3 linked regions of the Nothobranchius furzeri genome follow. The protein of the gene in region 1 binds, or shares a complex with, the protein of each later gene. Links are inferred from orthologs where the notes say so. Each region holds a gene or a part of one and is shown in the gene's direction. Other genes may lie near its edges.

Region 1 (10,867 bases):
AGCGCATGTCACCTCAATGTGGATGGGGGAGGAGCATTGAGGGTTGGAGGGTTGCAGTTAGGGCTGCAACAAACGATTATTTGGATAATCGATTAATCGGATGGGGTCTCGACACGATTAATCGATTAATCGGATTACATGGGGAAATTTTTAAAAACTGCTAGGGAAACGTTATTTCTCTCCTTCCTTCACTTTATTTAACACAACATTATTAGAAAACAGTTCAATAGCAGAAAAACAACATGCCATCACCTAAATTGTCTTATAAGGTGTATAGACAGAGACCCTAAGCTACATCTATCTGTGACCTAAAATGCTTGGTCCAAGTTAAGGGCAATTCTCATCTGTTTTGTTTGATCTCATCTGTTGACATTTATTTTAAATGTAATTAAACATAGGCTGTGAATTAATCAAAATTGATCACTATTTCCAAAAATGACTGAAAAAATACCAAATAAAACAAAAGTAAATGAATGCCATCCTCCTTGCGATGATGCCCTGGGCAACTGCCATAAAGTCACATCAAGAAATGCTGCTGATCATTCCAATGATCCCAAATAGACTCACATTAGGCCACATGAAAGCAACTGAACCCAAAAATATATTAACCAGTATATAACTGCACTCTCACACAACACGCCTGCAGCAACAGTTAGGACTCCTCCCTCCCTTTGAAAAGCGTTTTTGCTTCTGAGGACATTGTGGCTGTAAAACCACATGCTAGTAGTCTGGCCCCGGTGTGATCAACCAGTTTCTGCGGGAATGTGACGGCGGAACCAGGGCCAGATTAACACTTTGTTGTACCCTGGGCAACAATATTCAAGGGCTCCATCATCACGACCCGAGGATCACCATAATGTGGTCACATACAGAATATTTTACTGTAATATGCAGTAAATATACTCAATACTTGAATGCCTGACAACACGTAACCCGCCCAGAGTAACCTTTGACCCACCTCGTGTGGACTGACCAATGAGGAGAGGGTCTTAACTTGAGGCCCTCTCTTCATTGGTCAGTCTGCATGAGACTGACTCTCAACTGACGTTCAGTCGTAGGCAGCGAAGCGTCTCTGTGCAGTGCAAAAGCCCGGGTGGACAGTTTGTTTAATGTAGGGTGATCATATTTCCATTTCCAAACAAGAGGACAGGGGATCTGTGCCTATGACGTCACACTATGGCAACGCCACACAAACCATGTTGGGACCCATTTTTTATAAGAACTAAATTAATATCAGATTCTGCCAATTAAAGGGCTCTAAAACAATTCATATGTAAATATTTTGCATATTTAATGCAAAATCTAATTTTTATGCTTTAGTGCTGCAACAAGGTTTTATTAATAATAAATTTTTATACCTTTTGTTTTACTACAGCATCGGTAAGCTTCCTGTGCACAGATTATTAAGGATGCTTGTTTCAGCTGTGAGATTAGACGATAGGATCAATGAAAAAATAAGTTGTCACAAACTCCATGGAAACTTTCAGAGAATCCACAAATAGTGGCTTTCAAATGGTTTTGTTACTTTTTGCAAGTTTAGAAAAGAAGCAGATGAGACAGCATGTCTGATAATTTAGTTTTTCATCTGATAATATTAGAACATGTCAGTAATGTCTGAGGGGCTTTTATAAACACTGTATAACTAACACTACTGGAGAGGGCATGAATTACACAGAGGCTTCTGGGGAGCCCAGTTATTGGGGGGGGGGGGGGGCATTTTGCCTTGGCCCCCAAAATGTCTTGAAACGGCCCTGGGTGTGTGACTGAGTTTTGAAGGTGATCTGAATTGTATCAGATGTATAAATATGACATGTGTATAACTTATTGTTTTATAGGTAAAAACGTGTAGTGGTGATAAATCTACCTACATTTGACTTTTCAACACTTTGTTTTGTTTTCTTGTTTTTATTGAACTATTTTCCTGTCCTGTCTGTCTCTCATCTTCCTGCATCTCCTCTTAATTCTCCAGAAAATCTGTTGCCTGGATTCTTACCTTTTCACCTCATCAGTTACTTTTGAGCAGGTCAAAGGGATCTCCTGACCGAAAAGCGCAGAGCGCGTTTTCGATGCTGCGTGAGGTGACATCACCACAGCACAGGTGATGAGCTCCGCAGTAGCAGAGGGCTTCAGGCACAAATAAGACAGAAAATAGAGAACATGTGCGGACATGAACGATCGTGTGCTAATTATAGTTTTTTGGTTGCGCCACTTTGAGAATGGACCGTGCGCTGGAAGCAGCTGCCTGGATCGCTGTGCAACAATGCGGAACCGGTTCGCAGCAGCGCAAGTCTGCCGGCTCTCCCTCGCGCTGATCTGCGGCTCTCCCTCGCGCTGATCTGCCGGCTCTCCCTCGCGCTGATCTGCGGCTCTCCCTCGCGCTGATCTGCGGCTCTCCCTCGCGCTGATCTGACTTGCTCTGGTCTGCGCGCAACGGCGGGCGGGAAGGGGGGGCGCTTTTGGAAGAGTTGTGCGACACAACGAATCGATGACGCAATTCGTTGCCAACGCTTTTAGTAATCGATTTTCATCGAATTTATCGATTCGTTGTTGCAGCCCTAGTTGCAGTGACCCTGGAACATTTCAGCGGCCTTCCCGCAGTCCCGCCCAGGCTGGGAAAGGAGACAGAGTTGAGCTGCCATAGCGACGGCACATTCCATATATCTTCTGAGGGGGGAGTTTTCGTTGGAGCCTTGCAGGCTCAAGGGCTCCAGATTCCGATTAGAAATTGTTTTGGGGCTAGACAGAGATAACTTCCTCTCTGTCTTACAGTTTGTTGGTCCTCAAACTCTCAAAATCCCAATAATGGACATTAATCTATCCCAATCCGTGCTGATTCGTTCACTCTCTCCTTGATGGCACCCTTTTGTGCCAATGAAGGAATCTCGGCCAAAGTTCCAAGCTTACGATTCATCTCGACAATTATTTGAGTCTGTGAATTCACAGCGCGGTGCAAACCATCTCTGAGCTCCGGGATCAGGCCAATAATCCTCGACAGCTCGTTAATTTTCCGGTAAGCCAGGTAGCCTCCAAGATCAATGAGCAGGAAACCTGACACCAACACCACGAATACCCACACGTCTTCAGAGTCCTCCACAGACAGCTGAGATAAACAAATCAAGTTCCACTGTTTCCAGGAGTCCATGATGTGTCCAACTGGGTCTGTCCCAGCGGGGCATCCAGGAGCCCCTTCTCCTGTTCTCATCGTTGAAAAAACTTTATCAATCACGTTGAGAGACCAACTGACGAGATCCATTTAAGTGAATTTCAGTTTCCAGAAAAATGCAGAAGCAGCCATGCACCCAGCACACACAGACAGACAGAGGGCCTTGAGGATAACATATGGAGGAGAGGAGGAAAAAAAGCGTCTGCACCCTCCAAGAGCCGGAAGAAGAATGTTCTAGAATGTCCTAACGTTTTAGGGCACCTCTTAGCCAATAGCGATGGCAGATTTAAATTCAAATGTAGTGCAGTTTTTACCTGACAATGACACAACACTGACAGTTTCAGGCAGAAATTTTAAATTTTAACTAAAATGCACTAAAGTGCTAAACTATTGACTACATGTGCCTGCAGCGCGATTACATACACATTTATATAGTTTATCAGAAAAAAAGTTGATTTGGGGTGACTTGCTCTTTAACGATTTTGGGGGAGAAAAATAAAATCTAAATAAACTCTTGTTTTGGTATTCTTTATAATAAAACGTAGAATTTTCACAGGTTTAGAAAAAAGTAACCGTTTTGTTTGAGGTCATTTGATTGTAGAGACCAGATTCGTCCAGCAGGCGGCAGTAATGCAACAATAAAAGGACCCAGAAGAAAACAAACATGGCGTCCTTCCATAGTGATGAGTGGAGAGCTATATGCGACAAATTCAACAACGCCCAAAATCTCACCGAAGTAGAATCTAGAAATGACCCAGAGAACGACCCGTTCCGTTCCAAGTACAAAGCCCGGGAACTTCTCAGAGAAATCTATTGTTCACTGAAGAGTTTAGAAGCTGGTGACGGTGAGCAGGACGCCGACGGCGGAGAGAGCGGGGACCAGCTACCGACGGAGCAGCCGGTGGACGACCAAAAGGAGGAGGGTGTCTTCTCTCGGGGCTTCAGCGGTGACTCCCCAGCGGGGAAGCGAGTGGCCAAGCTCGGAGCTGTGGAATATTTTCTGGGCGTCAACCATGTGGACACGGAGGAGCTGTCAGCCGGGCAGGAGCATCTGATGAACTGCATGAAGCTGCTGGAGAGATGCGGGGTGTCGTCGGAGAATGTGTCGCTGTTCATTAATGTCAGGGTAACGAACGATGACGTTTCATCTGGTTTAGTAATGGCGGAGTTGGCATCATTTCAGGTGTGTGAGTACATAAGCTGATGGTGTGTGTGTGTTTGCTCTCCGTTCCGTCAGAACCAGCTGGGCATCCTCTGGGCTGGCCGAGATGAGACCGAGATGGCTCAAGAGTACCTGGAAAAAGCGGAGTCCATCTACCAGCGTTACATGAAGGAGGTCAGTTAGGTTTTCTGAGCAGCTGCTGGTGCACTCACTCAAACTGTAGCTGATCCAGAACTGTTTTTATTTGGACATTTCATTTGCAGCACGCTTGTTCATCAGGACCACATTGCTCTGTTCCTGTTCTGTCATCACGCTTCTCACGACCCTTTCTGTGTATTTTACGCGGCCAATGAGTCTCGTATATATAATATATAATCACAAACACTGCAGTTGAAATTTTATGAGGTCAAATCCTCCCCAACATCTGGGATTGTTGTGTTTTCTGTGCCTCGTGAAGGATGGGACTCCTCCCACCGACATGACGGAGTACTTTAGTGCAGAGGAGAACCTGCTGACACACCAGGAAAGGATCAAGAGGTAATTTCTGAACCCCAGCTTCCATAAGCATGCTCTGCACGTTTTAAATTATATTTCTCTTCCACCAGGTTCGAGCTGGCCTACACCCACACCATGTACTACCTCGCTCAAGTGTATACAAACCTCGGTGAGTGTGTGTGGCTGAAGTTCTCGTTACCGGGTAGTTTAGATTACATATGGATGTTTCACCATCGTTTGTCTCTCAGGTCAGAAAGAGCGTGCTGCCACCTACTGCCACTGCACCCTGCAGAGACAGTTACAGTTAAACCAGTTCAACCCGATGGAGTGGGCTCTGAATGCAGCTGCGCTGTCTCAGTATTACATCCCAAAGGTACCACTTGGGTGCAACGGGAAATTGTTGACTTATGAGTTAAAATCTCAAAGGATGTTGATTCTTCTGTTGTAAACTTTAGTAAGCGTCTCGCATTTGTGCTGGTGTTCTTCTCAGGGCCGATACATGGAGGGCAGGCATTGCCTTGCAGCAGCTACTGTTGTTTCAGGTTTGGCTGGAGAGGTTCCGTCTGAGGCCGTAGCTCAGGAAAGTAAGAGCCCTCTCATGAAAACATTTTATTTAAACGCCTGTCCCAGAGTCGAGTAAACCGGCGTAGTTTTCACCTCTCCTTGCTTCACCTTGCTTCACCCTGTTCCTCTAGACTTGTTTATCATTCCTCTCTTTGGTCACTGGCACATCCGATCGTCTCTTTCTGTCCGACTCAGGTGAGGCGGAGAGCGAGCGCAGAGAACAGCTCAGACAGAAGAGAGCAGAGATGGCGAGATGTTGGATTAAATATTGTCTAAATCTCCTACAGGATGCTAAGAAACTCCTGGAGGTACTGTTTGTGCCTGTTAACGAAAACCAGAGAAACGGAATAAATTCCTCTAACTGTCAGATCTTCACGCTGGTTTTTAAGTCTTGTATGAAAGTCTTGTGGGTGTTCGTGCAGGACAACATCGGTGAGCTGGATACGGATCGTCAGGATGAGCTGAGGAGAGCGAGACGACGACAGGAGGAGGAGGAAGAAAAAGGGAGGAAGAGTGCTCTGCTGTTTGGCTCTGAAGACACTTTTGATTCTATTGCAAGTGTGGAAGAAAAGGTCTGAGTCACCCGAGTTCAAACTTTATGTTGGTTATTGTGTGGGTCTTTGTTTTATGAGGTCATAAAGCTTTGTTTACATTTTCTTTAAATGCACACACACACACACACACACACACACACTGCGTTAATGTAGTAAAGAAACATGGAGTGGATTAAGTTAATCTCACAATTATGATTTTGTATTTAAAAAATATTACACAAAAAGTGTGTAAAATTCAAGCATGCATGATAGAAGAAATGAGATGTTCGTATCAAGAAATTAAGAGTCAGAAGATGTCGGATATCTGTAAGATAACAAAAGGCCAATGTCGAGCAACCCTAGTAGCTTTGTCATTTTTATTTTTGTCAAATTCCTTCATTTCACTGTGCATTATGTTTTGTTTGTTTTTTTCATTATATAAGTTTGAATGTTTAATATAATAAGAGAATCTTAAAAACTATTAATGAGGACTTTGGGTGCCTTGTCAGTAGGGGGCGCTATTCTATAGATTTTATTAAGTCACTTTGCTGACTGCTTTTTTGTGTTTTTGGTTTGTTTTGCGTCCTCCGTCTCTTACAGGTCATGTGTTTGCTACCTCTGGACTTCACGGAGGCCAGATCGGTTTTTCTGGTGGGACAGAATTATGTCACGCAGGTACGCACAGCAGGAAACCGTCTCTGTTTAATTGACTGAAACTCGTATATTACATCACAAGTAGAGGAACTCTGCAGGAATGTGGAGTTTAAACACCTTACAGTAATTCTTTACCAGCATAGAACATCATTTGTATTTGAAACTATAAATTTGATTTTTCCAATTTTTAAAAAGCACAAGTTTTCTACATTTTTTCAAAAAAGCCTTTTTAAAAATGTTAATTTGTCCGAATAAATAAAATTTATTTTGATTGCAAAATAATTATTTCAAAAGGATTTTAACATTAATATTTAGTGAAAAGAAGGATTTGGTTCTGCTCTGTTGTTAAAATGTGTTTTTGTGTCATTAAGTCACATGATTTCTTCATAAAGATGCTTAACCTGCACTTTAGGGACATTACCTGATCTTAAAGCCACAGAGCTAATGTGTCTGCGTGAAACGTTGTTTTTGTGGTTGACGGTTAGCTGCTTCCTTCCTTCCATCTCCAAGGCTAAAGAGTACTATCAGATGGACGGCTACGTCACGGACCACATCGAGATTCTGCAGGACCACAGTGCTCTGTTCCGGGCCCTGGCTTTCTTTGAGGAAGACCTGGAGCGTCGCTGCAAAATGCACAAACGAAGAGTCGACATGTTGGAGCCGATCTGCAACGGTACAGCTGTTGTTGTTTTTCCTTTAAAATTCTTAAGAAAGTCTTCCTCTGTGACTCTCCTTGTTTTTCCTCCAGACCTGAATTCTCAGTACTACCTAATGATCCGCCGACAGCTGATGTTTGAGTTGGCTGAGACCTACAGCGACATGATGGACCTCAAACTGACTCTGGCCAACAGACAAGCAGATGCACAGGCCTCAGACAGCCACACCATTAAGAAGTTCAACCATCTCTGCTCTGCTTCTGCCAAGTAGGAGTGCATTTGGGTTCGAAGCACCAGATTGAGTTTCTGTTTGTTTCAACGCTCTCCTGAAGGATTTGTGTGATCCTCTCATCTCCAGGTTCTTCCAGATGTTCCTGGATTCTCTGTGTTCTCCCGAGGGAAAGCCTCCGGAGCACCTGGAGGAGGAGGTGCTCAGACCAGCTCTGGTGGCTAGGTTCAGAGTAGCCCGACTGCACAGCAAACTGATCAGCTCCTCACCTGCCGTTCAGCTGGAAAACCTCGACAGCTCCCTGCAAAACTACAAGTACGTCTTGTATTTTTATTTACAAGCAGCTTAAATAAAGAAATGGCAACAGTGCGGTGATACCTTGTGTCCTGTTGTGTAGGTACGTGGTGCAGTATTGCGAGGCTCACCCTGAGGCAGCAGCTGCCGTGGAGACGGAGCTGGAGCTGAGCAAAGAGATGGTCGGCCTCCTCCCTCTCAAAATCAACCGCCTCAAAGCGAGGATGGCCGCCAACAACTGAGCCTCTTCTGAATGGCTGCAGAACCGATTGCGTTCGGCTTTATTCTGATGTGCCAGTCGGTCATCGTCAGTGGACGCTCCGCACTCAGAGGAACCAAACGCTACATCTTTGGATCCCTGTTCTAACTGTGTACCTTTTTCAGTGACGTGTTTTCCTCTGTGTAGTGAGCATGCTGCTTTTTAAAGATGCCTCTGTACGATACAGGCTATATATACTATCAAAATAAAAGTATCAAAGGAAAAGGCAACTAAACACTAAAGCATGATTTTGTTTCCAAATGTCCTGTTTACATTCCATCTGCAGAGCTGCAGCCTTTGTAGATTTATCACTAAACCAATCATTTAGCAGCGTTTTCTCAGTTTTCATAGCAGGTGCGTTGACGTTTTATATGTATGAATTTAGTTCATATTTATAATTATTGCACTATGTAAATGTCTTCTGGTTTTAACTGGTGGGACTTCTGTCAAGTCCCCAGAAGTTGTATTGTTTCAGCTCCTCTCTGATTGCAGCAGAAATGTTGGTGCGTGCTAAAACTAGAATTCTTGTGGCGTTGACAATGAGCACCCTGAGGTGAGGAGCAGTCCAGTCGATCCAGTTCTCAGATTCTTCTTCTGCAAGTCAGCAGAATAAATCAGTAATCTAGTATTCTGCAGTACTAGTGTGTTTCTTATCAAAGTCATGAAATGGGACCACAGTCTTGTGTTTAAGGTTTGAAGGATCTCTTGTTTCTTTGCAGATGAGAGTAAGATTTGCAAATAAAAGTTAAACTCTTTAAAAACCATGTTATTCATTATAAACTGGGTGTGATTGGTGATGACATTTATTTACATGTTTTCTTAACATTTAAAATTAATTTGACTTTAAATCAGCATTTCAGATAAATCTATGGTGCCTATCTCCAGCAGTCAACGGGCAAGTAGGTGGGGTACACCCTGGACAGAGAGCCAGTCCATCGCAAGGCAACACAGAGACACACAGGACAAACTATCATGCACACACACACACTCTCACCTAAGGACAATTTAGACAGACCAATCAACCTAACAGTCATGTTTTTGGACTGGGAGGAAGCCTATGCACAGGGAGAACATGCAAACTCCATGCAGAAAGATCCCAGGCCGGAAATCGAACTAGGACCTTCTCGCTGCAAGGCAACAGCTCTAACCACTGCACAGCCCCTAATTATTAAATATATTTTTCAAAATTAAATAACTTATGTGCATTTGTATTACTTTAATCAAGTCTGTAATTATTAAACACATTAAAGGAAAAAAAATCTAACTTTGCCCAATTTAAAAAATAATCATCTACCTTCTTAAAAAATGAATTAACCAATCAAAACCCCATTTTTTTACAGAAAGTTTCCTTAAAACTAATAAATATTAAATGTTGAGAGTTCTTGAATTTTCTTAGCTTTGTTTCTTTTTTGAGATCCTGTTGAATTCTATCAGACAGGCTCTATTAATGTAATTCCACCTTAATCAGGCCAGAGTTTAACCACTGAACTTGAACTATAGTTAAGGATTTGAACACCAAGTCACCCCCAAATTTACTGTTTTTCTCATTAACCGTATACATGAGTGTCTATTAGTGCTGTGGATATGTGTAGTCATTATTTTGGCATTTCAGTGCATCTTATAAAAATACTCTGTCCAAAACATCAGTTTAGCACTTCCTTCAGATTAAAAGTCTGCTCTACATTTGAATCAGCCATTGCTATTGGCTAAGCCGGTATTTTATACGTTTTTTTACGTTATTACAGCATGCCCGATGTGGCTGCACCGCACTGGACTGCAGCCAAGTCTTGTAAGGTTCCAGCGAGTGCGTACACTGTTCCGAACTTGGCCCCACCCTTTTTGCACCCTTGATCCACACTTCACCGAAGCACACGTTGGTGTGAACTTATGGGGGATTCCCTATTCCCACTCCCTAGTCATCAAACACTGGTGAAATTCATCTCTGCGTTTGACCCATCCCCGTGGGAATCGGTGAGCTGCAGCAGTGGCTTTGCTCAGAAACTATTTTGTGGTTTAAATCCCCCAATCCTACTCCTTAAAGCTGAGTGTCAAGCAGGGAGGCCTTGGGTCCCAGTCTTTGGTATAACTCAGGGCAGACACTCATACCACAAGGCCACTGAGAATGTATATGTGTATTACCCACAATCCATTGCTGCTAAGGAATTTTGAGAAGACGGTGGAGAAATGGCTCAAGTGCCCAAATGATTACAAACAAATATTTGGGGGAAGGGAAATGAATGATCCTTTTGGTTATTTCCCAACTGTTCGTCTTAATAATTAGAATGAAAAAGGGAAATCTTTTTGCACATAGCCCCACCAAGATTCGTTCTCATCCGCCATTTTAATTGAATCAACAAAGTGACGATGTATGATGTCAGCTAGTACGTGTGACATAAGATGTCTGCTGCTTGCCACCTCCAAAGGATCTTCCTCCTTTTCCTCTTTCCTTTTTTCTTTTTTTTCCGTGTCCTGTCTGGCTTTGAAGCAATCACATTTGATGTCTGAATGCCAAAGACAAGGCTTGCGGTTTTACTCTCACAAGTGGAACGTTATAGCTTCTGCTATAATGCCACAAAACTCTATTAGAAATATTTTATCCCCACGGACACGGAGACAGAAGTGAGTGAGAAAGGGGAAGAGAGAAGGAAGAGGTGGGGAGGGGGATTCACAAGAATAAGCAAAAATAATGAACGAGAGTCTGCTTCCTGCAGAAAGAAAAAAAAACACAAAAACACAAAAATACAAGACCAAAATATCACTGCGTCAACAACATGAAGATATATAAAACTAACTATTTTGCTGAGAAACACACAGTAATAATTCATAGTGCATTTAGTGCCAACCACAGCCACCACACA
Region 2 (9,680 bases), on another chromosome or scaffold:
ATTTTTTTTCCTCTCCAACATCAAAATTTTAATGTTGTTGGTGGGAATGAATAATTGGAAATAAGGTGGGAACACAGTTCCATTTTTTTATTTTACAGCGGACACATTTCAGCGTAACACCGGGTAGTTTTCTGGGGAAGACGACTAGCCCGCCAATTTTAAAGAACAACATAAACAATGTTGTCCGTCCGTCTCTGATTCTGTGACGTGAACAACGTATAAATAGATTTTTAACGATTAATTCTTCGTAGACAACGATGCAAACTACTGGAAAAGGTAGTGAAATGTTCGGTTAATCAACAAATATGCTGTCAGTTAAACTTGATACCGACATTCGTTGTTTCCTTACTTATTTTTTTAGCTAGCTACTGAATATTTGCCTTGGGTTAAAGTTTTAGCACCATAGGATGCGCGATCAATTCATGTGTTGTCTTTTCATTAGTGTCAGTTACAAAAAGTCATTTAACGAACGTTTGAACATTTTGTTACCAGGCTTTGGAGATTCAACCCTCCTTGCTGCAAGGTAAGGTACCTTTAGGCCTCTTTGTCCCTGCTAAATATGCAAAAAGTAGCAATAAAACTAAACTGTAGATGATAATTGTGTCTTCTAGTAACAGCTAATGCAATGCTCCCATGCAAATGTTTTTATTTTTTTCTGAAGCATTTATACTTTCAATCACCAGCTTTATAAGCAACTATCAGGAATGAATTCAACTAATAAACTGTTAGCAATTTTCTTAAAATTTGAATCCTATTTTTTTATGAAAATAATCTGTTGATGTTACAGTGGCGACAGTGATTCAATTAAAGTATTTGTCCGAGTGCGACCTCTGACCCAGGGAACAGGGCTGACCACAGATGGAGATCAGAATCTGTGTCTCTCTGTTACCTCCCCACACACCGTCCGTCTGCTCTCCAAACCAGAACCACGAACCTTCACCTACGATCATGTTGCTGACATGGAGACATCTCAGGTTTGAAACACCGTCATTGCATTAAATACATACATAGGATGTAAACTTTTTGGGGAAAAATGTTTAATTTTTGTGTTCCAGGAGTCTGTATTCAACAGTGTGGCCAAGAATATTGTTGAGTCCTGCATGAATGGATATAATGGTACCATATTTGCTTAGTAAGTGTCATTTTTATGTACAATATTCAATTTGATGGCTTTGTTTTACATGTTGAGCATTGATTATACTTTTTTTCTTGCAGTGGACAAACAGGCTCTGGAAAAACGTTTACAATGCTTGGTGAGAGTTTATAGTTTTCTCAAAAATCTAAAGTTGAGTTTTCTCAAAAAAAAAAAAGTTAAGTGATTTTTTTTTAACCCTCGCTGCAGGACCGTCTGAGTTTGATAACTTCACAGATGAATTCAGGGGGGTAATTCCACGAAGTTTTGAGTACTTGTTTTTTCTCATCAACAGAGAAGTGGAGAAGGTGATTTGTGATGTTTCTTCATCAAAAATATTTCAAACCAATGTTTTTTTTATTGATTTTTCTAATAAATCCTGTGTTTCTTTCCTTTTCTCCCGATAGTCTTCCAAGTCCAAGAGCTTCCTTTGCAAATGTTCATTTATTGAAATTTACAACGAACAAATCTATGATCTTCTGGACACAGCTTCGGCAAGCCTTTTCCTGAGGGAGAACATTAAGAAAGGTGTGTTTGTTGAAGGAGCTGTGGAGAAGTTTGTGAACTCAGCAGCTGAAGCCTACAAGGTATACTATACACCACTGATCCATAGTGACTGCATGTTTTACTCTCTGTAAAATTAGATTATTATTGTGTCAGATCCCAATTATAAGTAAACCCTTACATTTGCGACCATGTAGGTGCTGTCTATGGGCTGGCGTAATCGGCGTGTGGCCTCCACCTCCATGAACCGCGAGTCCTCAAGATCTCACGCTGTGTTCAGCATGACTTTGGAGTCCAAAGAATCTGTCAATGAGGTGGTGAACATCCGAATGTCTCAGCTGAATCTTGTGGATCTGGCAGGATCCGAGAGACAGAAAGACACACACACGGAGGGATCGAGACTCAAGGTAAAGTTTTATGTGTGAATGCTCAAGCTTTGCTGCAATGTCTTTGCAATCATTTCTTTCAGCTTATAACAGTTGCTGTGTGAATGACTTCTTTTGCAGGAAGCCAGCAGCATCAATCGCTCCCTCATGTGCCTGGGCCAGGTGATCATGGCGCTGGTGGATGTGTCTAATGGAAAGCACCGCCACATTTGCTACAGGGATTCTAAACTCACCTTCCTGCTCCGGGTAAGTGATCAAAATGAAATTGTCCTTCGTCAGATTTGGGGAATCTATGTAGAAAATTTGAACAAGTGTGGCTTTGCTGTTACGTCAGGACTCTCTCGGAGGAAATGCTAAGACCTACATCATAGCTAATGTCCACCCTGGTTCAAAGTGTTTTGGAGAAACGTTGTCTACCTTGCAGTTTGCTCAGAGAGCCAAGCTGATCAAAAACAAGGTGTGCTTTATTAAATCCTCTATGTAATGTTTTGGTTTAAGATTCTGGCAGTTGCTGTTTTACCTTGTTGTTATTTTACAGGCTGTCATTAACGAGGACACACAGGGAAATGTGAAGCAGTTGCAGGCTGAAGTGAGGAAACTGAAAGATCAGCTTGCGCAGGCGTTGTCTTTTCACCGAGTGGACTCTGATAGAGACGCAGCACCAGGGGGATCTGAACCCTGCATGGGTAACTATTTACTTTACCTATACCAAACATTTGTTAAATGTTATCTGTGTTAGAGCTGAGGTTTGGCTATGAGTTTATTATTTTAAAATTCTCTCATCAGGTCCATCAGCTGAACTTCAACATGATGTTTCGTATAAAGCAAAGTTAATGTCTGCCGTTCGTCTGTGGAGGAAGCAAGAGGATGAGAAGAAGGTGAAGGGGGTTAATTTATTTATTTTTATTAGCATTCATAGGAAGTTACACAACAGCTTTGTGATTGCACTCAGATGCTGCTGAAGAAGGTGGCGCAGCTGGAAGAAGCCTGGACGCAGAAAGACAAGTTCATCCACTCCAGCAGGATGATCATCAGGTTTCGAGAAGAACACATTTCCCGCCTAGAGAAAAAGCTGAAGGCAGGACAATGCTTGTTGTCGGACGTAGAGTCTCAGGCTTTGATAGAGCAGCTGAAAAAAGAGATCAAGATCTTGAGCGATCAGGTAAAAAATAAAAATTTTCTTTGATTTATTTCTAATTTCTTAAGTCTTTTTTAACTCAGATTAAAGTTACATCTGAAATCAATTTCCCTCCTCTGCACTATAAGGTTGATCATCATCCTAAGATGACTCGATATGCAGCAGAAAACTACAGCCTCAGAGAGGAGAACCGTATGCTACGTTCTCTTGAATCCGTGATGAACGCTGAAGATGTTTGTGCCCAAGTTTCCGCTGAGCTGGAGGAGGCCTTCCAGATGGCACTGGAGTCAGAAAAACTCACAGGAAGTAAGATTATCATCATGACATTAGAAAAAAAAACTCTTGCAAAGTTAAATATTGTTTACATTTACGTGTGACTGTCGCATGCTGCTCCACAGCTTGCACAACCATGTCATCTGCACTGGGAACTGACGCTGATTCTACAGCTACGATCGAAAAGCTGAATTCAAAACTGCTTCAGAAACAGTCCGACTTCACGGCTGCCCTCCAGGCTTTTGAGGAGTACAAAGAAGTTTCAAAGTAACGATAAAATGTTTATTTAAAGTCAAAGTCTGTGATAAATGGTGAATGTGACGGCTGGCTTTAGCCTGGGCTACAGTTTTGTTTTGTCATCTTGTGTTTTAGGAAACAGTTATCCCAACTGGCGTCCGAGAAAAGATACCTTGAAAAGTCCAACAAGCATTTGGAAAATATTTTAGAAGCCACGCATGCTTGTAAAAATCAAGAAGTCTCTGAGCTGAACAGGATTCACGTTGAAACTCTAAAGGTGAGCTCGTTTTCATCTCGGAGGCATTCGTTGCTTGTTGCGATTAGACGTTGATGCAGTTTTTTGCTGTTACACTAGATTCTCTCTACGCCCACCAAATCCTACAACCTGCGCTCCCGCCTTGTGCCGCTCTCCAGTCCACAACATCTGAACGGGAATGACGAGGCTGACATTTGGTCGGAGGAGCCCCCATCTGACATGACTGAGATGGCCCTGACAGAAGAGCTGCATCAAATTCAGGTAATGGAGCGCGGATTGTCCCTTTACTACAAAAAACCAACTATTGACATCAGCTTTTGCTCTTCAGGAGCAAGCGAGTTGTGTCCAAACACGTTTAGATGAAGTGGAGTTGAAGAACAGCAAGCTGCTGCAGCAGATTGCAAAACTCGAGGAGCAGATCGCCATGAAATCCCAAGAATGTGACCACAAAGAGGAGGTAGAGTTTATTCAGATGTAATGATGCTGTGTGTTTATGCTAGCTGCTAACGGTCTGTACCTGATGCAGCTGCTTTCTGCCGAACGAGCTAACAGAAACAAAGATCAGCTCAACTTCCAAGAAAAGATGAGCGTCCTGCAGGAGAAGCTTGAGTCTGAACAGCGAGCTGCAGAAGGTGAGGCTCTGATTGGTTAGTGAATGTCCTGTTTTGACCCTAACCGCTGTTTCCTCTCGATTCAGTTCTGAAGAGCGAAATCCATGATCTGCGCTTGCTGCTGCAGTCGTCAGACAAAGAGCTGGCGTCTGTGAAAAACCAGTTAAAAGACGATCAAAGTGAACATCAGCAAGAAGCGAGTCAGCTCTCCAACAGTCTGATCAGCACTCAGCTCCAACTGGACAAAGTCCAGTAAGTATAAATGAACAGTGTGACGTGTCTGTTGTGGGTATGATGTAGGTTTGTGCTAAAATCGGCTAAATGCTCTTTCTAGGCTGGAGTGGGAACAACTTCTGGAACAAAACCGAACCCTGCAGGATTCCTTCGACCAGCTCCAAGCCGAAGCCAAGTTTGATGCCGACCAGGCCGGTCAGCAGCTGTGTGACAAGCAGCAGGAGATAGAACAGCTGAAAGCAGATATACAGGTAGAGGAAGTAAAATATAGTCTAGTCTAGAAATACCTGTTTTTTGACTCTGGCCCTTAGATTTTTCTTTTTCTTTTAGAATTTGAATCATTCTCTGCAAGCTGAGCGAGAGCGCACAAGCAGTCTGATCTCCCAGTTAAGAGAAAACAAAGAAAGCACTTCGAAGTGAGTTCTTCACAGTTTAAATACTGGATTTGTTTTATTAATAAAACACTTTTGAAGTCCTCCTTTTACCATAAAACTTACACGATTGATCCTTTTTCCTTCAGAGAGCTTCTAGAAACCATGGATCAGAACGCACAGCTCAGAAAACAAGTTTCAGACATGACAGCACAAAATCATCAGCAGGTCGGGACACAACACACACACACACACACACACACACACACACACACACACACACATATGCATACATACATACATATATGCAGATCAGAAAGAATTGCCAGGTTTTCAGTTGCAATGCGTCGTTAAACCTGGTTGTTTTTGTTTTTATTTTTATTTCAAAGTCAACCAAACTCACCGAACTTGAGCAGAGTCTAACCGCTGCCAGTGAAACGATAACAAGCTTGGAACAGAAGATTAAACAGGATAAGGTAAAAAAAAAAAATATATATATATATATATATATATATCTTCAAATAGGACGTCATTACATCTGTTCCTTTTAGAAATACTTTCTACTGTATTTTTCCAACAGGATGTTCTTTTAGACCTCATGAACCAAACCAAAGACCTTCGTAGTGAGCTGAGCCAGAAGGAGGAGACCATTATCCACCTGAGTGATGACATCAGAGACATGATGGTAAGTCACCTGCCCTCTAATGCACCGTATAAAGCACCAAGCTTATAATAATAATAATAATTCTGTTGACTTCCAGGCTAAATATGATGCTGCCTGCAGTGAGAGAGAAAACACCAGGGAGCAAAACCAAAAGATTCAGACAGAAATCTGTGAACTGAAGGAAACTTTAGAGAGAAAAATGACCTCTAACAAGATTGAGGTAGTTTGTTTTTACGTTTTTGTGAAGTCCTTTAAACATCCAACATGTTTTGGTTAATTTGGTTTGTTGATGCACCACATTCTCTTTAGCCCTGAGACAAGAGAGAACAGACTTCTATTCATCTCTCCATTTCTGCTGTAATGAAAATGAATGTTTTTCTGGAGGTGGAGGTGCTGCAGGAGGAGGTCGCGTACGCCACCGAAGAGGTTGACAGGCTGACTAAGGTCTTAGGTGAGCAGAACATCCTCCTCCAAACATCTCAGGAGCAAACGGCTAAGAAGGAGGCCATCATAAGGAGCCTACAGCAGAAGGTGAAGATAGATTTTAAAATGGATTTGGTGTCACATTAGAAGCAATTATTCACTTTTTTCTAAACTTGTTTCATTCCAGGTGCAACAACAACAAGAAGCTGTTGAGAAAACCATCAGAAATGGAGATTTTAAACCCCCTGAGAGTACCGTCACACCTAAATCCCTGGATCGGGTAAAAACTTTGTTTTTATGAATCAAACCTTCTTTTATTTCAGCATCAGAATGTTTTTTGCTCCCGGAATGCATCGGGGGGAATCTTATACATCTTTTCTTTTTCTTTAAGACTCCTCGTGGTTTCGGCAGCTTCAACAGAAACCTGAACGACTTGTTGGAGAGCCAGGAGCAGGAGCTGGAGAGCCGACGCTCCTCCATGATGAGCATGGAGATTCTTCTGGCAGAGCTGAACGCGGAGAGGGCCGCAAAGAACGAGGAAATCCACAGGCTGAAGGCAAGCGCAAATGTTAAACATCAAAACTGGAAAAGTAGAATTATATTTTAATTTTATTTCTAACTCAGACGGAGCTGGCTGACAAGGAGGTTGTCCAGATGGAGATCCAGGGTTTACTAGACACGTTTTACACCAAACAGAGTCAGCTCACAGAGCCCAGGAATAACAGCAATACTAGTAAAAGGTTGGATCCCTTCGTTTAATTTGACTTCAATTCATTTTATAACATGTGAAACAAGTGAAATGGATAAACTTGTCTTTCAGTGAGCTTCATGAAGCCATAAATCAGACTTTGGTGCAAGATCTGCATGAGGAACGGTCTGAGAAGGTGCGTATCTGCTTCTCTGCTCATCTTGTTTACTTTTGAATGATGACGCCAATTTCTGTGTTGTTATTTATCAACAGAACAAAATAATGCAGAAACTGTTTGAGACTCAGAAGAGGTGAGCACCTGTATAGGTTGGTTTAGTGGCCTTTGAGGTAAAATACACGAGCACCTTTGAGGCTGATTGGTGTTTTCCTGCCGGTTAGGCTGCAGGAGCAGGAAACCACTCTGGCCAAGTCCCAGACCTGTGTTCATGAGCTGACCACTGAGCTAAGGAACCGCTGTCTGGAGCTACGAGAGATCAACCAGAGGATTTATGATGAGGAGAAACTACTCCAGGTGAGAAAAGGAAATTTTGAGTGCACAACTGACCCGCTTCAACTAAAAGTTGCTCGACATAAACCTAAAAGTCGCTGATTTGTAAATAAAAAAGAAGACATCAGCCCTTTTGCCCTCTGACGTTTTCAACTGGTGTTAGTCGTTTCAGTTAGTGCACTGGAGCTCGGCTGTCCTTTAACAGAAACCCAAAAACCGGTTTAAAACAACAATAACACAGTTTTCTTTTCTGCAGGAGAATGAGATGCTCCGTCAGCAGAATCTAAAGCTTTCTGAGGAGAACGGGAAACTTGTTGGACACAAGAACCACAAACAGAGGATTGAATATCTGGTTAAGCTGAAAAAGGAAAACACCAGACTTGAAGGAGTAAGGATTCTTCTGTTTGATCTACTTATTTGGGGCAGTATGAAATTCAAGCATGGATCATGTTAATTAACTTTGTCCCTTTTATGTGATTTCAAGGAAAACGAGAAGCTCAGAGCAGAAATTAGCCTAATGCGGGAGAGCTCTGTATGCTCACCGATGGAGACCATGTAAACCTCAAGTGGGACTGAACTCTTGGCAAGAAACCAATTTTTATTTTTCATAGTTTTTGATATAAAGACATATTTTCATATTTGATTTTTGTTCTGTCTTTTTCATGTAAATTAAATGTTACTGGTGAATAAACTGTTGATGATGGTAGTGATGGTTTTTCTTACAAATTAGACTGAGCCGAACATATTCATATTTGTGATGGAAATGTAACATTAGGACTTGGTTACTTTGTAGGTACATTTGGACATTATTCCTTTTTATCTCAGGTTGTAGAATTTGGTTTCCCTGTTGCTTTTGTCTGAACTGTTCTCCTTATTCAAAAAAGACTATTAAATTTTTTTAGTGGTCAGCTTTGAGTAGAGGTGATTGTGTGATTTTGTTGAAAAAACAGCATACATTGTTTCAAGAAATGAATCAAAACAGTGGGAAGAATAATTTAACCTTTAAATTAGGTCTGGGCGATATGGCCTAAAATCAGTATGATATATTGAGAAGTTCACCTCGATAACTATAAATGGACGATAACTACATGTATGTGCAGAAACAAAAGTTGTGCTCTAGGCTGTCACATGTATTGAGGGACATGAACGTTGCCAACCTACGCACATCTTTTCATTTTTTTTATTATCAAATTTATTGACATGGGAATAATTATCTTGATAAGAGTCAGAAATTTCAATAATGATACATTTTTGATTAATTGCCTAACCTTACTTTAAATATTAACATAGGAAAACAAAAGGCTTGAGTTTGCTAAATCAGCCATGAATGACAAACCCTTACTTAGCTCATACATTAGATAAATAAGAACAAAAACATCCTCACATTAGAGTTTTTAAAGTTTATGTCATCCGTTTTAGTATACCATGCTGAATGCTCTTATGGGGATCAGCCTAATCAGTTGTAGTTGCAATATTGAGTCCGACCACTAGAGGGCAACGCGCGCGCCTATGGGACGAAAGCAAACTAGTTTTGTTATCCGTGGCACCGGCACGTGGCAAGGTGCGAACCACCATTCTAGTCTCACCCAGCTCTGGTCGCACCATGGAGAAAGTTATCACTGCTGAACAAATTTCGAATTGGTTCACCCCCACCTCGCCCACTTCTGGGAGCAGCAAACTTATTGAAGACTCTGCAGGAAGAAAGAATGATGGGCCGTCGTTGAAAGAAAGGTAGTAAAGTTAGCGGTTAGCGTAATTGTCACCATAAGCTAATTTGAAATCGAAGCAGCCACAGAAACATGGCGACATTGACTTTTTTTTTTCAAAACGAGCGACAGGCGTGGTATAAAGTTAACGTTTAAATGCTGTTTTTAACAATTGTACATCTGAAAACCTGTATCTGATTTTGTTGTAGTCATTACAAGTGTTTGCCAAATTTTAGTGAAAAATATTATTTAATTTTAAAGTATGAATGGAAATATTTGCCTTGAATCACAATTTACCTTAGAAAAAACCCTTCGTGGATATGTTTTATTTTATTATTAATTTTTTTTTGGTTCGGCTCACCACACCATGAGGTGGTGTTGAGCTAACTTCAATTCAATCTGCGCATGTGCAATACCAATTTGACTACATTGGTGGGTAGAACTGTGGATTTGTAAATAAACATGTGTTTATATAAACATATAAACACATGTTTATATACATGACTATGGGTAGAACACCACCAATCCATGCTACACTTTTGAAAACAA
Region 3 (10,424 bases), about 11 Mb from region 1:
CACCTCGCAGCTTAACGATAGTAATGCATGTGATGTTTAGACAGAGACTCGTCTCAGAAACATAATACCCCGACAGCATTGTTTAGAAAATCATCAGAAAAGTTTCAGAGTGTTTCTGTTTGAACTTAAACTTCTGTTTTCAACTTTAAGACACGTTGTTTGTAACTGTTTACAGAGTAGTGAGAACACGGAGCGTTCTCCCAGCGGCAGCCAGGTGCCTCTCGTTTGTCTCACTACTTTCATAAACTACTGTTAGGACACAGAATTATTCTGTCTGGTGCGTTCAGCGCTGCACAGATGTTACGTAAATGTTAAAAATATAGCTTACCGCAACTTTTGTAAAGTTTCCGGTGCCACCGGGCGGGCAGCTGCAGCAGAGACTATCTCTGAAAAATGTCCGCGACACGGACTCCGTTGTTGTCTGGAAGTTTCCCCCCCCCCCCCCAAGTTAAGAAAAGAGGCGGACGTGTTTCCTAAATCCTGCATCAGTCCAAGCAAGGCAACTTCTTTCTGTTTTTATTACGTTTAGTAGCCATTAGCACTGTGCATTGTTGTGTGCGTCAGTGATATTCAGTCTACGAGGAAGTCGTGCAATGACAAAAGTTCCGCCGTGCTTGAAATGCAATCTGCGATTAAATGCGTTAATTTTTTTAACGCGTTATTTTTTTCTAATTAATCGTAATTAACACGTTAAAGTCCCGGCCCTAGTTAAAACAAATAAAAATAAAACTGCTTCTCTGCTGTTTAAAGAAACCCTTCTATGTTTAGTATTAACTCTGGAGGTCTTCCATGTTCTAAGTGTACAAAATAATAGTTCATGAAAAACAATTTAGTAGTTTCCTTTCAATATATAAAATTTAATTTGAAGAAGGGAAGAGGGAGCTGAGTCGGAAGAGCTTTGGGTAGTGACCTAAAGAACAAGATCGCGGATACAAGCAGCTGAAATGTAGTGTCTGGGCTCTACTGCACAGTGGAAGCATCGGTGGTGCAGAACGGCAGCGGAGCGTCACAGCTTCAGATAGAATCCGTTAGTCTATTGGGGGATTCAAACCAGCCGTGATGCGGCAATTTTCAGACCCGTCCCAGAAGCAGCGCCGCTTAAGACAGGTATGCAACAATTCCTGCAGTTAACATAGGGCTAGACAGGAAATCACACACTGCTTCAGTGTAAAATTTCCAGTTAATTTTCAAAATAAGTCTATTGCAGCGATGTGACTTCATATAAGTGTGTGTGTGTGCGTGTGTGTAGATTACATCAGTGCAAGTGCCCTAACGGCTTATTTACTCACAGCATTGCAGCGGTGTGTTTTTATGGCTTTAACCATGGCAGTGGAGAGGACCAACAACTGACATCGAATGTGATTTCCTTCTTCTTGGTTTAATGGCGGATGGCATAAATTTGAGGAATTTTGTGATCTCGCGAGGAGCACAGCTGAGATGACGCTTCGTAGCGGAGACTCCCGGTGTGCACTGGAGTAAACTTTTGCGCTGCTTTTCTGTGACGCTGATGCTTTCAGTGTGCAGTAAGGGTTAGAGATCAGTTGGGTCATCCAAGAGGGGCTCAGAGTAGACCTGCTGCTCCTCCACATCGACAGGAGCCAGTTGCAGGGGCCTTGGGTATCTGGTTAGGATGCCTTCTGGACGTCTCCCTGGTAAGATTTTCCGGGTACATCCAACCAGGAGGAGACCCAAAGGAAGACCCAGGACAAGCTGGAGGGACAGTTTCTCTGCTGGCAGGGTAATGCCTTGGGATTGCCCCGGAGGAGCTGGCCCAAGTGGTTGGGGAGAAGGAAGTCTGGGCCACTTTGCTTAGGCTGCTGCCCCCACAACCTGACCCCGTGAAAGCGGATGAAATGAATGAATCATTTGAAGGAAACCTGTTGAACCAACGCTAGAATTCATGTAAACATTGAGTGTTGTTTGTTGATTTAAAGAGCTTTCTCAGTCTTTTTAAAGTGTTTGTGTTGAAGTTAAATAATTATGACCTCAGGTGTGAAGGAGCTTCTTAAATTTGCATTTGAGACGTGGCGTTTGCATTCTACAGGCTTGATGGATTAACATCTGCTGCTGTCTTTAAACAGCTCCAAGTGTACAAATTTTCAACGTGGTTCAGTGTTTTTACAGTTAACATATTTGCATTACATGATTATTTTCATGAAATTGTGCATTTTCTTTTGTATCCCCCTCTCCATTAATAAAAATCACCACCAGCAGCTAAAAGCAGCACTTCCTGTGCATCCAGGGGGCAAACCCAACAAGAGCTTCTTAATATTTCTGCTGAAATAAAAATGTAATGTGAAACTGATCATAATTCCAAGGATGTACAAAAATAGAAATAGGAGTCTCCTTGTAGAGATTACATTGTTATTTAAACCAGAAACTTCAATCGCATATTTTAATACAATTTTGAGGCTAAAGCACCCAGCCCTATTGCATAACTAACCCAAACAGTGAGCCTAATCATTCATTGTAGTGCACAGGTGCCTTTAATGATTTCTAATGAAGATCTGATGCAGTTAAACTTTTTTATCTCTTTTCAGCCCAAATCTGCAGACCACATTCTTGAGGCTTTGGATTCTGGCAATCGAAACAGAACACAGCACCCCACTGATATGAATGCCACGTCTTCCAGATCCCATGCTGTGTTTCAGGTATTTAAGCCTAAAGTTTCTTAAAAGTCCAGTTTTTTATGGGAAGGGCTAGGTGAAGTAATGAATTAAAATGAGGAGGTGAAAAAAAAAGTCATACAAAGACTGAGTGATTTATTTCGTAATCTAACAGCTCTGTGTTTGATTTATCAGATCTATTTGAGGCAGCAGGACAAAACTGCCAGTCTCAATCCCAACGTCTGCATTGCCAAAATGAGCCTGATTGACCTCGCTGGCTCAGAGAGGGCCAGCGCCACCAACGCCAAAGGGGCGCGATTACGAGAAGGTGCTAACATCAACCGCTCCCTGCTTGCCCTAGGAAATGTTATCAACGCTCTTGCTGACCCAAAGGTGACGTGTCTTGCTCTGTATCTTCATTATATGTTCACACAGAGTACCGTTGTTTTAGTTTGGAAGATTCTGTTCAGCGCTGGTTTATGCTGAAACAACACATTCTCACACCCAAGGCATCAAAATATGAAGCGTGTGACCAAGCGTCAATATAGGAGACGACGATCAGGGACACGCTGGGTCACGTGGCTCCGCTGGTGTCACTTTGACGCGCGCTGTCACACGGACATTATTTGACAATTTAACCTTCCCCTCACCCCAGTCCTAACCTTAAGGTCCATAAACTGTAACCTTGAGGTTAGGATTGGGGTGAGGGGACGCTTAAGTAGTTCTAATGTCCGTCTCACCACCGGCGTCTGATACCGAAGCTCTGGGACGCTGCGTCAGCTGTTTGTCCCTGAGCGTCGTCTCCTGACGCGCTGGGGCGTCGTCATATATTGACGCTTGGTCACACGCGTCATATTTTGACGTCTTGGGTTTGAGAATGTGTTGGCTGAAATCACACAGCCATGCCTTGTTTTATTAGTTTAGTTTATTTCAAACAAAGAAAACATACATTATTTTTTTTTAAATACCACAAACAGAAAAAATACATCATCATCCCTTTTTTTCTTCTCCGTTTGAAAAGAAGTAGGCTGAAGTGGAAACTTACAAGTCCCTACTCCTTTATACAAGTAATTTTTACTTGTTTACTAAATCTAACACAAAACCTACATTAAATCAAACAAAATGGTACAAGTCACCAAAAACCACCAAACCATCTTTTTACAATTGATACAATTTACTTTTCCTTAGAATAAAGGACTAGAGCCCTGCACAGGCCTAAAATCTGAGCCCGTGTCCGGCCCAGCCCGAGGGGGTGGAGCCCCAGCCCGACCCGGTCCGAAAAGGTTTTCAGGATTCTCTGGTCCGACCCGAGCCCGACTTTTTTTTTTAACCAACTAAATGAGAACAAAGTGCGTCAATCCTGACCAATGTGTTAAAAGACATGCAGGATCCGATCAATTTGTTTTTCCCTTGTTTACCGTCACGGAGATAACGGCGCACTGGCTCTGGTGTTAATCAAGTTAAATTTTATCTCTTTCCAACAATTTTCACAAGAAAACAGAACAGTTAAAAGCAGGGCTTGTGTTGACTGGATAGTTCCCGTATTTGACAGTTTGTTTTGACGGAGAAAGAATAGAAAGAATTACCCCGACGCATGCAGACGAACTGACATTTTATTCGTTACACACATCACAGATGTAGCTAAATCACCCAAGAAAAGATTCCCATCTGAACATCTGAGCTGGACACTGCTCAGCGCAGCTCACTGTCAGCGCGTACGTATGGTGCACAGCGAGCTGAAGTTGTGGAGAGGGGCTTGGAGCGCGTCGCAGAACCAGAGCGCATGCGGGAAGGTTCCTCCCACTGAAGCGAGTGTTTTCCAAACCCTGTAGCTCAGAGAGACTTGTCACTTAGAAAATGTTCCCTGATTATGAAACTTTGGCTGAATAGCGCTTGTTCCTGTCTCCAATGTGGCGACACATCCAGGAGCCGTCTGAGGAGAATCCCAGAATCTCTTCAGCTCATAAAGCGCCTATATGATTACGTACAAGCGTGACCCGTCAACCCGGTCTCACAGTAAGACTGGGTTGGACCTGTTCAGGTTTACGCAGACAATCTTTACATAGAATTGACTTACAGATATGAAATTAATTCAGTAAAATATAAAGCATTTTATTTAATTATCCATTCATTATTTTACAAGCACGGAGAGCCGCATCAGATGGATGGAAGAGCCGCGAGTTGTGACATGTTTTCTCCAGGACCAGAGAGGACGCAAACTCAATACATGTCTTTTATTGTGAGGTAATAATTTCTCCGAGTTTTGCGGTTGCGGGCGGGAGTAGACATGCACACTGCGGGTGCGGGCGGGAGTGTAACACACACGTTGCAGTTGCAGGCGATAATGGTCAGAAATTCAGCGGGAGCGGGATGAAGAAAACAGTCCCGCGCAGGGCTCTACTGCTGCGTTTGTGTTTCAATTTTTTAAATGAATTCGATTAAAAATAAAGGCGCCTGGCCCGTGTCCGAGGTAATTACACAGTCGTTGGCCTGAAGCCCGGCCCGAGGGCCTAGGGCTTCAGTGCAGGGCTCTATAAAGGACACCCACATAAATCATCTATTTTCCACTATATACTTGTTCAGAATGTTTTTTATAATTCATTTTAAACACATTTATATTTGTACTTACTTTGATTTCTTCTTCTAAATTGTTCCATAATTTAACCCCTATTATTGTGATACACAACTGTTTTAATGTTCTAAACTTGGCAGCAGTAGCTCAACAGGTTGAGCGGGTTGTACAGTAATCGGAAGGTTGCAGGTTCGATCCTGGCTCTGGACAGAGAATTCTGCTGTTGTGTCCTTGGGCAAGACACTTAACCCACCTTGCCTGCTGGTGGTGGTCGGAGGGACCAGCGGCGCCTGTGCTCGGCAGCCTCACCTCTGCCAGTGCGCCCCAGGGCAGCTGTGGCTACATCGTAGCTCATCCCCATCAGTGTGTGAATGTGTGTGTGAATGGATGAATGATACACTGTAGCGTAAAGCGCTTTGGAGTCCTTACTTTGAGAGGTGCTATTCAAGTGCGAGTCATTTATCATTTATGTATCTTTAAGTTTAGTGTCCCTCTCAGGTTATATCCTCCTTCTTTCTCTGTGAACAGTTTCTGTATTTTATCAGGCATCAATTTATTTCTTACTTAATACATTATTGTGCTGTTTTGTATTTAACCAAGTCCTGGAACTTCATTGTCCACGTTTTAATAAAAAGTGCTTATGGTTCACTGCCTACAACAAACTGCAGTTTTTAGGCCTAATTTTACAAGATATGACATTATAGGAACGGCTGTCACTTAAATGTCCAAAGCTAAATATCAAAGATTGTCATAACATTTAACCAGGCAATGCACTAACATGATGAATTTATCAGGTACGATAAACTGCTAACTAGAGGCCAGCCGATATATTAAAAAGTGTTTTTATCAGTAATCGACCGAAATTATTTTTAAAAGCAAATTTGTTAAAAAAATAAAAAATCAGGCACCTGTCTGGCCAACTGACTACTAGACTGAATAAAGGACCCCAACACAGTTTTATGTTTTGAGTTTGTTTTATATTTGAAGTTCAATAAATATTAAGAGATTTATTTACTTAATTTATATTGCACACACTGAGTGTTCTGTTGTCTTTGACAATCAATGTGCTGCTAAAACGTATATGTATATATCAGCCTTAATAATCAGCCTTAGATATTGGCCATCGGCAGCAAAATTCTTTAAAAATCTGCATTGGCCTTGAGAAAACGATATCGGTTGGCCTCTACTGCTAACTGAATGTGTTTATCAGTTGTATCTGTTTAGTACATCATCTGTCTACATTGGAGCTGGTATTAAGTTTGTTAAGGTTATGGGAGTTTGAAGGTAACCACTTGAATACGAAGCTGGTAAGAGGGAGCCAGCTGAGTATTTGGGTATAATTTCATTCCAGTTGCATACATTAATCTGTCAAGCAGACGTCTCATTTTACACACAAGTCTCGAGGAACGAGGCACAAGCGGGCCGCATGCCCGCATTTAGGAGGTGTTGTGCAAAACTATGACAGCCATGTTGAAATGCAATCCACCTTCAACCAACTTCATTCTTTGGGTTGATATGGTGTCCTTTCATCAGCATTGGAAAGTCGATGTTTTACCCTACCCGCCATTTTTAAGTGAAGCAGCCATGGACTCAGTTCTGTAAAATCCAAAACAATACCCACAAGTTTCCCACCCCTGTTCCTCTGCTTTTTTGATACAGAGGCATTTATATTGTGGTCAATGTTTACTGGAAAGAATGTCCTCGCTTGTGTCTAGACTGGTATGCCAGAAGAATGCCTGCTACTTTAGTTGGGGCTGTTTATTGTGTCATCTTCATGTTATGCTGTACAGAGGTTTCTGTTGTAAGTTGTTTGCCTTAGGCGGTGGCCCTATTTATGCTAATGCAGTTGATAAAACGCCTTCTTTCAGTCGTGACCAATTTTTCTCACCCATGCACCGCAAAAGCTCCAGATGTGTTGCAAAATCTTAATGTTTTTTTTTTTTCACCAGCATTTTGTAAAAGTTTTGCTTCTTGGAAATGTTACTGTCAGATTTTTCACAGTGAAGATAAAAATCTGCTGGTGGTGATGAGCTACTCTGTAGCCGCAACTGACAAGGGCAGTACACAGGTGCCACCGGTCCCTCTGACCACCACCAGTAGACAAGGTGGGTTAATCGTCTTGCCCAAGGGCACAACAACAGACTAAGTTGGGGTTGAACCTTCAACCCTCTGGTTACGAGGCACACCTCCTCTGCCATCTTTGCCCTAAAACATTTTTGTCACAGATTCAACCAGATGTGAAACATTCTGCAGAGGTTTTGATCCACAATTCTATTATAATAGCAGGACATAGTTGTTGCAGATTTGTCTGCTGCAAATCAGTGATGGGAATCTCCCGCTCCAAAAGTCCTTGTTTGCATTGATCTGGTGACTGTGGTGATCGCTGAGAGTCCAGTGAACTCAATGTCATTATCAATAAACTGTTTCAGATGACTTGAGCTTTGTGACATTGAGCATTATCTATCTGAAAGTAGCCATGAAAGGATGGGTTCACTGTGGTCGTAGATGGATGGGCATGGTCAGCAGCAATACTCAGATAGGCTATGGTGTTTAAAACAGGCTCAGGTGGTAGTGAGGAGCCTAGAATGGGTTTTGCTCCTGTTTCTTTGCCTGAGTTAACCAAACTAGTTAACTCTATGAAGACCTCTGCATGCCCCCTCGACATCTTACCCTCATCTTTGTTTAAAAGTGCTTTTCAGTCCATCGGTCCCAGCGTGCTCTCCATAATTAACGGTTCTCTGGTTTCTGGTCAGGTCCCTGCTTAGTTTAAGAATGCTGTAATCCACCCAATTCTTAAAAACCGAGTCTTGACGCCTCTCTCCATAGCAGCTTCAGACCCATCTCTAAACTTCCGTTCATCTCCAAGATCTTGGAAAAGGTTGTGGCTTAACAACTCACAGCTGCTCTTGATGAACATAACATCTATGATAGCGTCCAGTCAGGTTTTCGTAGAGCTCATTCTACTGAAGCAGCTCTTCTTAGGGTCTCTAATGACCTTCTGACTCACAGTGATGCAAGGGACTGTTCTGTTCTGGTCCTGCTGGACCTGACTGCAGCCTTTGACACTGTTGACCATCACCTGCTACTGGAGAGGCTGAGAGACTGGGTAGGCCTGTCAGAATCTGCTCTGGGGTGGTTCTCCTCTTATCTGTCTGAGCGTTCCTGCTCTGTGGCCATCTCCAAGTTTAGGTCCTCCACCACCTCCCTTACCCATGGTGTCCCACAAGGTTTTGTGCTGGGCCCTCTGCGCTTCTCTATCTGCTTCCTCTTCATCACATCCTGAACTCCTTCAAAGGAATCTCATACCGTCATTATGCAGGTGACATCCAACTGTACATCTCCTTTAAGCCCCATGAGATGTCTAAGCTGCAGCTGTTACACACCTGCTTAGACTCTATCAAAACCTGGATGGCTGGGAGCTTTCTACAGCTGAATGAAGGTAAGACTGAGATCCTCATCTGTGCCCCAAACAAGCTGGTTCCCAAAGTCAGAGACACTCTTGGTCAGCTTGCTTCTCACACCAAACCTTCTGTCAGTAATCTTGGTGTGACCTTTGACCCAGCTCTCACCCTGGATTCTCATGTCAGTTCTCTTGTTCGCTCTTCCTTCTTCCATCTCAGGAACATTGCTAAGCTGAGTCCCATTCTGTCCCGCTCTGAACTTGAGACAGTTATCCACACCTTCATCTCCTCATGCTTAGACTACTGTAACTCTCTTTTCACGTGTCTGAGCAGAACCTCCCTGAACCGTCTACAGGTGGTTCAGAATGCCTGTGCTCGGCTTCTGACCAAGTCCTCCAAACACACCCACATAACCCCGCTTCTCCTCCAGCTTCACTGGCTGCCAGTCAACTTCAGGGTTCATTTCAAGATCCTGGTTCTGGTCTTTAGAGCCTTACATGGACAAACACCATCATACGATGGTGATGTTCTCAGTCCCTACACCCCCAGCAGGTCCCTGAGGGACTCTGGAACTCTTTCCCTGAGCCTGAGATCAGTGGTCTCTATTAAAAAGCAGCTGAAAACTCACCTGTTCAAGCAGAATTTTACATGACCTTCATCACCACCCTCTACTTATTCTGTTCTCATTGATTTCCCTCTTTCCTATTCATTTTCTCTCTCCCTTTCCTTACATTTTTTCTTTTCTCCTTTTAAACATAATTTTAATCCATTTTTGAAATCTTTTTATACGTTTAATTTTTTTTTTGTGAAGCACCTCATGATTTTTATTTTAAGGCGCTATAAGAATGTTTTCTTTCTTTCTTTACACCAACAGTAGCAGTCTAAACTCTTGACGCAAGCCAGGATGAATCCATGCTTTCTACTGACGACACCAAATTCTTCTTTTTTCTGACCTGACCATCTGATTGTTTGCAGGTGCCATCAGATGGGACTTTTTTTTTATTCCGTGTGAATTGTGTAGACTGTTTTCCTACTTTTGGCTAAAAGGATTGATACATGGCTTTTTTTTTTTTTTTTTTTTTTTTTTTTTTTTGCTGGAGTCCATCTGCTTCAAGGTTCAACATGTTGTGGTTCAGAGATAGCATTCTGTAGACCTTGGTTGGAGCATGTTTGTTTTTGAGCAACTGTTACCATTCTGCTGTGATTTCAACATGAGTTTATTCACACAACTGCCACTCACTGGAAATTCTTCTGAACCATTCTTTTGTGAAGCCTGTGGGTGCAAATCCCAGTAGATCAGCAGGTTCTGAAACACTAAGACCAAGTTTACAGTCCCTTAAATCTCCTTTCTTCACCAGTCTGATGCTCAGTTTGAGCCTTAGCAAGTTGTCTTCACCACTAGATCCCTGAATGCACTCAGTTGCTGTCATCTCATCTGAATGGCTGATTAACTAGTTCGGTTAACAAGAATCTGAGCAAGTGAATTGGCCAGTAGGTGTAGTAAACCACTGACACAACAGCTTTTTTAAATGACAATGTCAACATAAACGCAAACATTACTCATCTTTATTTATTTTTATTTTATTTTATTATTTTTTTTTTTTTTCATTTATAAACCAGAAGAAATCTGTGCTTCATAACAAACACTTAAGTGGTTTCTCTGTGACTTCATGGGTTTAGTTCACTAAGGTGTATTATAAATGCTGCACCGCTCCCAGGAGGATGACCGTTTACTCTCAGGTATTTAATATGGAGTAAGGTGGAACATTTTGTTTTTCTTAAAATGGAGATTTTCACAAGTATCACGTTATCTTAAAAATCTTCGGCCCGGGCGAGAGCTGCAGC

What was found.
Region 2: the proteins of kifbp (region 1) and kif15 are in contact, whole or in part, in a cryo-EM structure (PDB 6ZPH), measured with the Homo sapiens proteins. The link is inferred for Nothobranchius furzeri from reciprocal best matches to the Homo sapiens genes KIFBP and KIF15. Residues at the interface, in NP_056449.1 of Homo sapiens: Lys26, Tyr33, Lys36, Ile106, Glu109, Ile147, Ser150, Glu151, Glu153, Thr208, His209, Tyr212, Tyr213, Gln216, Gln219, His220, Phe224, Gln238, Glu248, Trp249, Ile251, Asn252, Thr255, Gln258, Phe259, Asn262, Tyr415, Val416, Thr417, Glu421; in NP_064627.1 of Homo sapiens: Leu187, Glu189, Ile191, Lys192, Lys193, Arg231, Glu232, Arg235, Arg271, Met280, Arg281, Leu282, Lys283, Glu284, Ala285, Gly286, Asn287, Asn289, Arg290, Leu292, Ser293, Gly296, Gln297, Ile299, Ala301, Val303, Asp304, Val305, Gly306, His312.
Region 3: the proteins of kifbp (region 1) and kif18a are in contact, whole or in part, in a cryo-EM structure (PDB 7RSI), measured with the Homo sapiens proteins. The link is inferred for Nothobranchius furzeri from reciprocal best matches to the Homo sapiens genes KIFBP and KIF18A. Residues at the interface, in NP_056449.1 of Homo sapiens: Ser150, Glu151, Tyr212, Tyr213, Gln216, His220, Gln238, Ile251, Asn252, Thr255, Gln258, Asn262, Gly414, Tyr415, Val459, Asp460, Leu461, Asn462, Pro463, Gln464, Leu467; in NP_112494.3 of Homo sapiens: Glu181, Thr183, Gln184, Lys185, Gly186, Arg274, Phe275, Val276, Glu277, Gly278, Thr279, Asn280, Ile281, Arg283, Ser284, Leu285, Leu288, Gly289, Val291, Ile292, Arg314, Lys317, Asp318, Gly322, Asn323.

The regions. Positions count from the first base shown.
Region 1 is NC_091749.1:53,756,149-53,767,015, forward strand, and holds kifbp (KIF-binding protein), read left to right. Parts: upstream 1-3,790; 5' UTR 3,791-3,827; coding exon 3,828-4,289; intron 4,290-4,400; coding exon 4,401-4,499; intron 4,500-4,782; coding exon 4,783-4,862; intron 4,863-4,930; coding exon 4,931-4,989; intron 4,990-5,068; coding exon 5,069-5,193; intron 5,194-5,310; coding exon 5,311-5,404; intron 5,405-5,579; coding exon 5,580-5,692; intron 5,693-5,806; coding exon 5,807-5,956; intron 5,957-6,517; coding exon 6,518-6,592; intron 6,593-7,081; coding exon 7,082-7,244; intron 7,245-7,319; coding exon 7,320-7,494; intron 7,495-7,585; coding exon 7,586-7,771; intron 7,772-7,853; coding exon 7,854-7,992; 3' UTR 7,993-8,773; downstream 8,774-10,867. UniProt on the Homo sapiens protein: Activator of KIF1B plus-end-directed microtubule motor activity. Required for organization of axonal microtubules, and axonal outgrowth and maintenance during peripheral and central nervous system development.
Region 2 is NC_091758.1:31,346,851-31,356,530, reverse strand, and holds kif15 (kinesin-like protein KIF15), read left to right. Parts: upstream 1-119; 5' UTR 120-257; coding exon 258-276; intron 277-492; coding exon 493-523; intron 524-787; coding exon 788-974; intron 975-1,055; coding exon 1,056-1,132; intron 1,133-1,215; coding exon 1,216-1,253; intron 1,254-1,342; coding exon 1,343-1,440; intron 1,441-1,539; coding exon 1,540-1,719; intron 1,720-1,833; coding exon 1,834-2,043; intron 2,044-2,142; coding exon 2,143-2,268; intron 2,269-2,356; coding exon 2,357-2,479; intron 2,480-2,560; coding exon 2,561-2,708; intron 2,709-2,808; coding exon 2,809-2,900; intron 2,901-2,974; coding exon 2,975-3,184; intron 3,185-3,288; coding exon 3,289-3,466; intron 3,467-3,558; coding exon 3,559-3,700; intron 3,701-3,805; coding exon 3,806-3,947; intron 3,948-4,025; coding exon 4,026-4,187; intron 4,188-4,254; coding exon 4,255-4,383; intron 4,384-4,452; coding exon 4,453-4,558; intron 4,559-4,623; and 33 more. Other genes in the region: ATP-dependent RNA helicase TDRD9, read left to right, coding at 9,029-9,156. UniProt on the Homo sapiens protein: Plus-end directed kinesin-like motor enzyme involved in mitotic spindle assembly.
Region 3 is NC_091749.1:64,380,830-64,391,253, forward strand, and holds part of kif18a (kinesin-like protein KIF18A), read left to right. Parts: intron 1-2,540; coding exon 2,541-2,651; intron 2,652-2,801; coding exon 2,802-2,999; intron 3,000-10,424.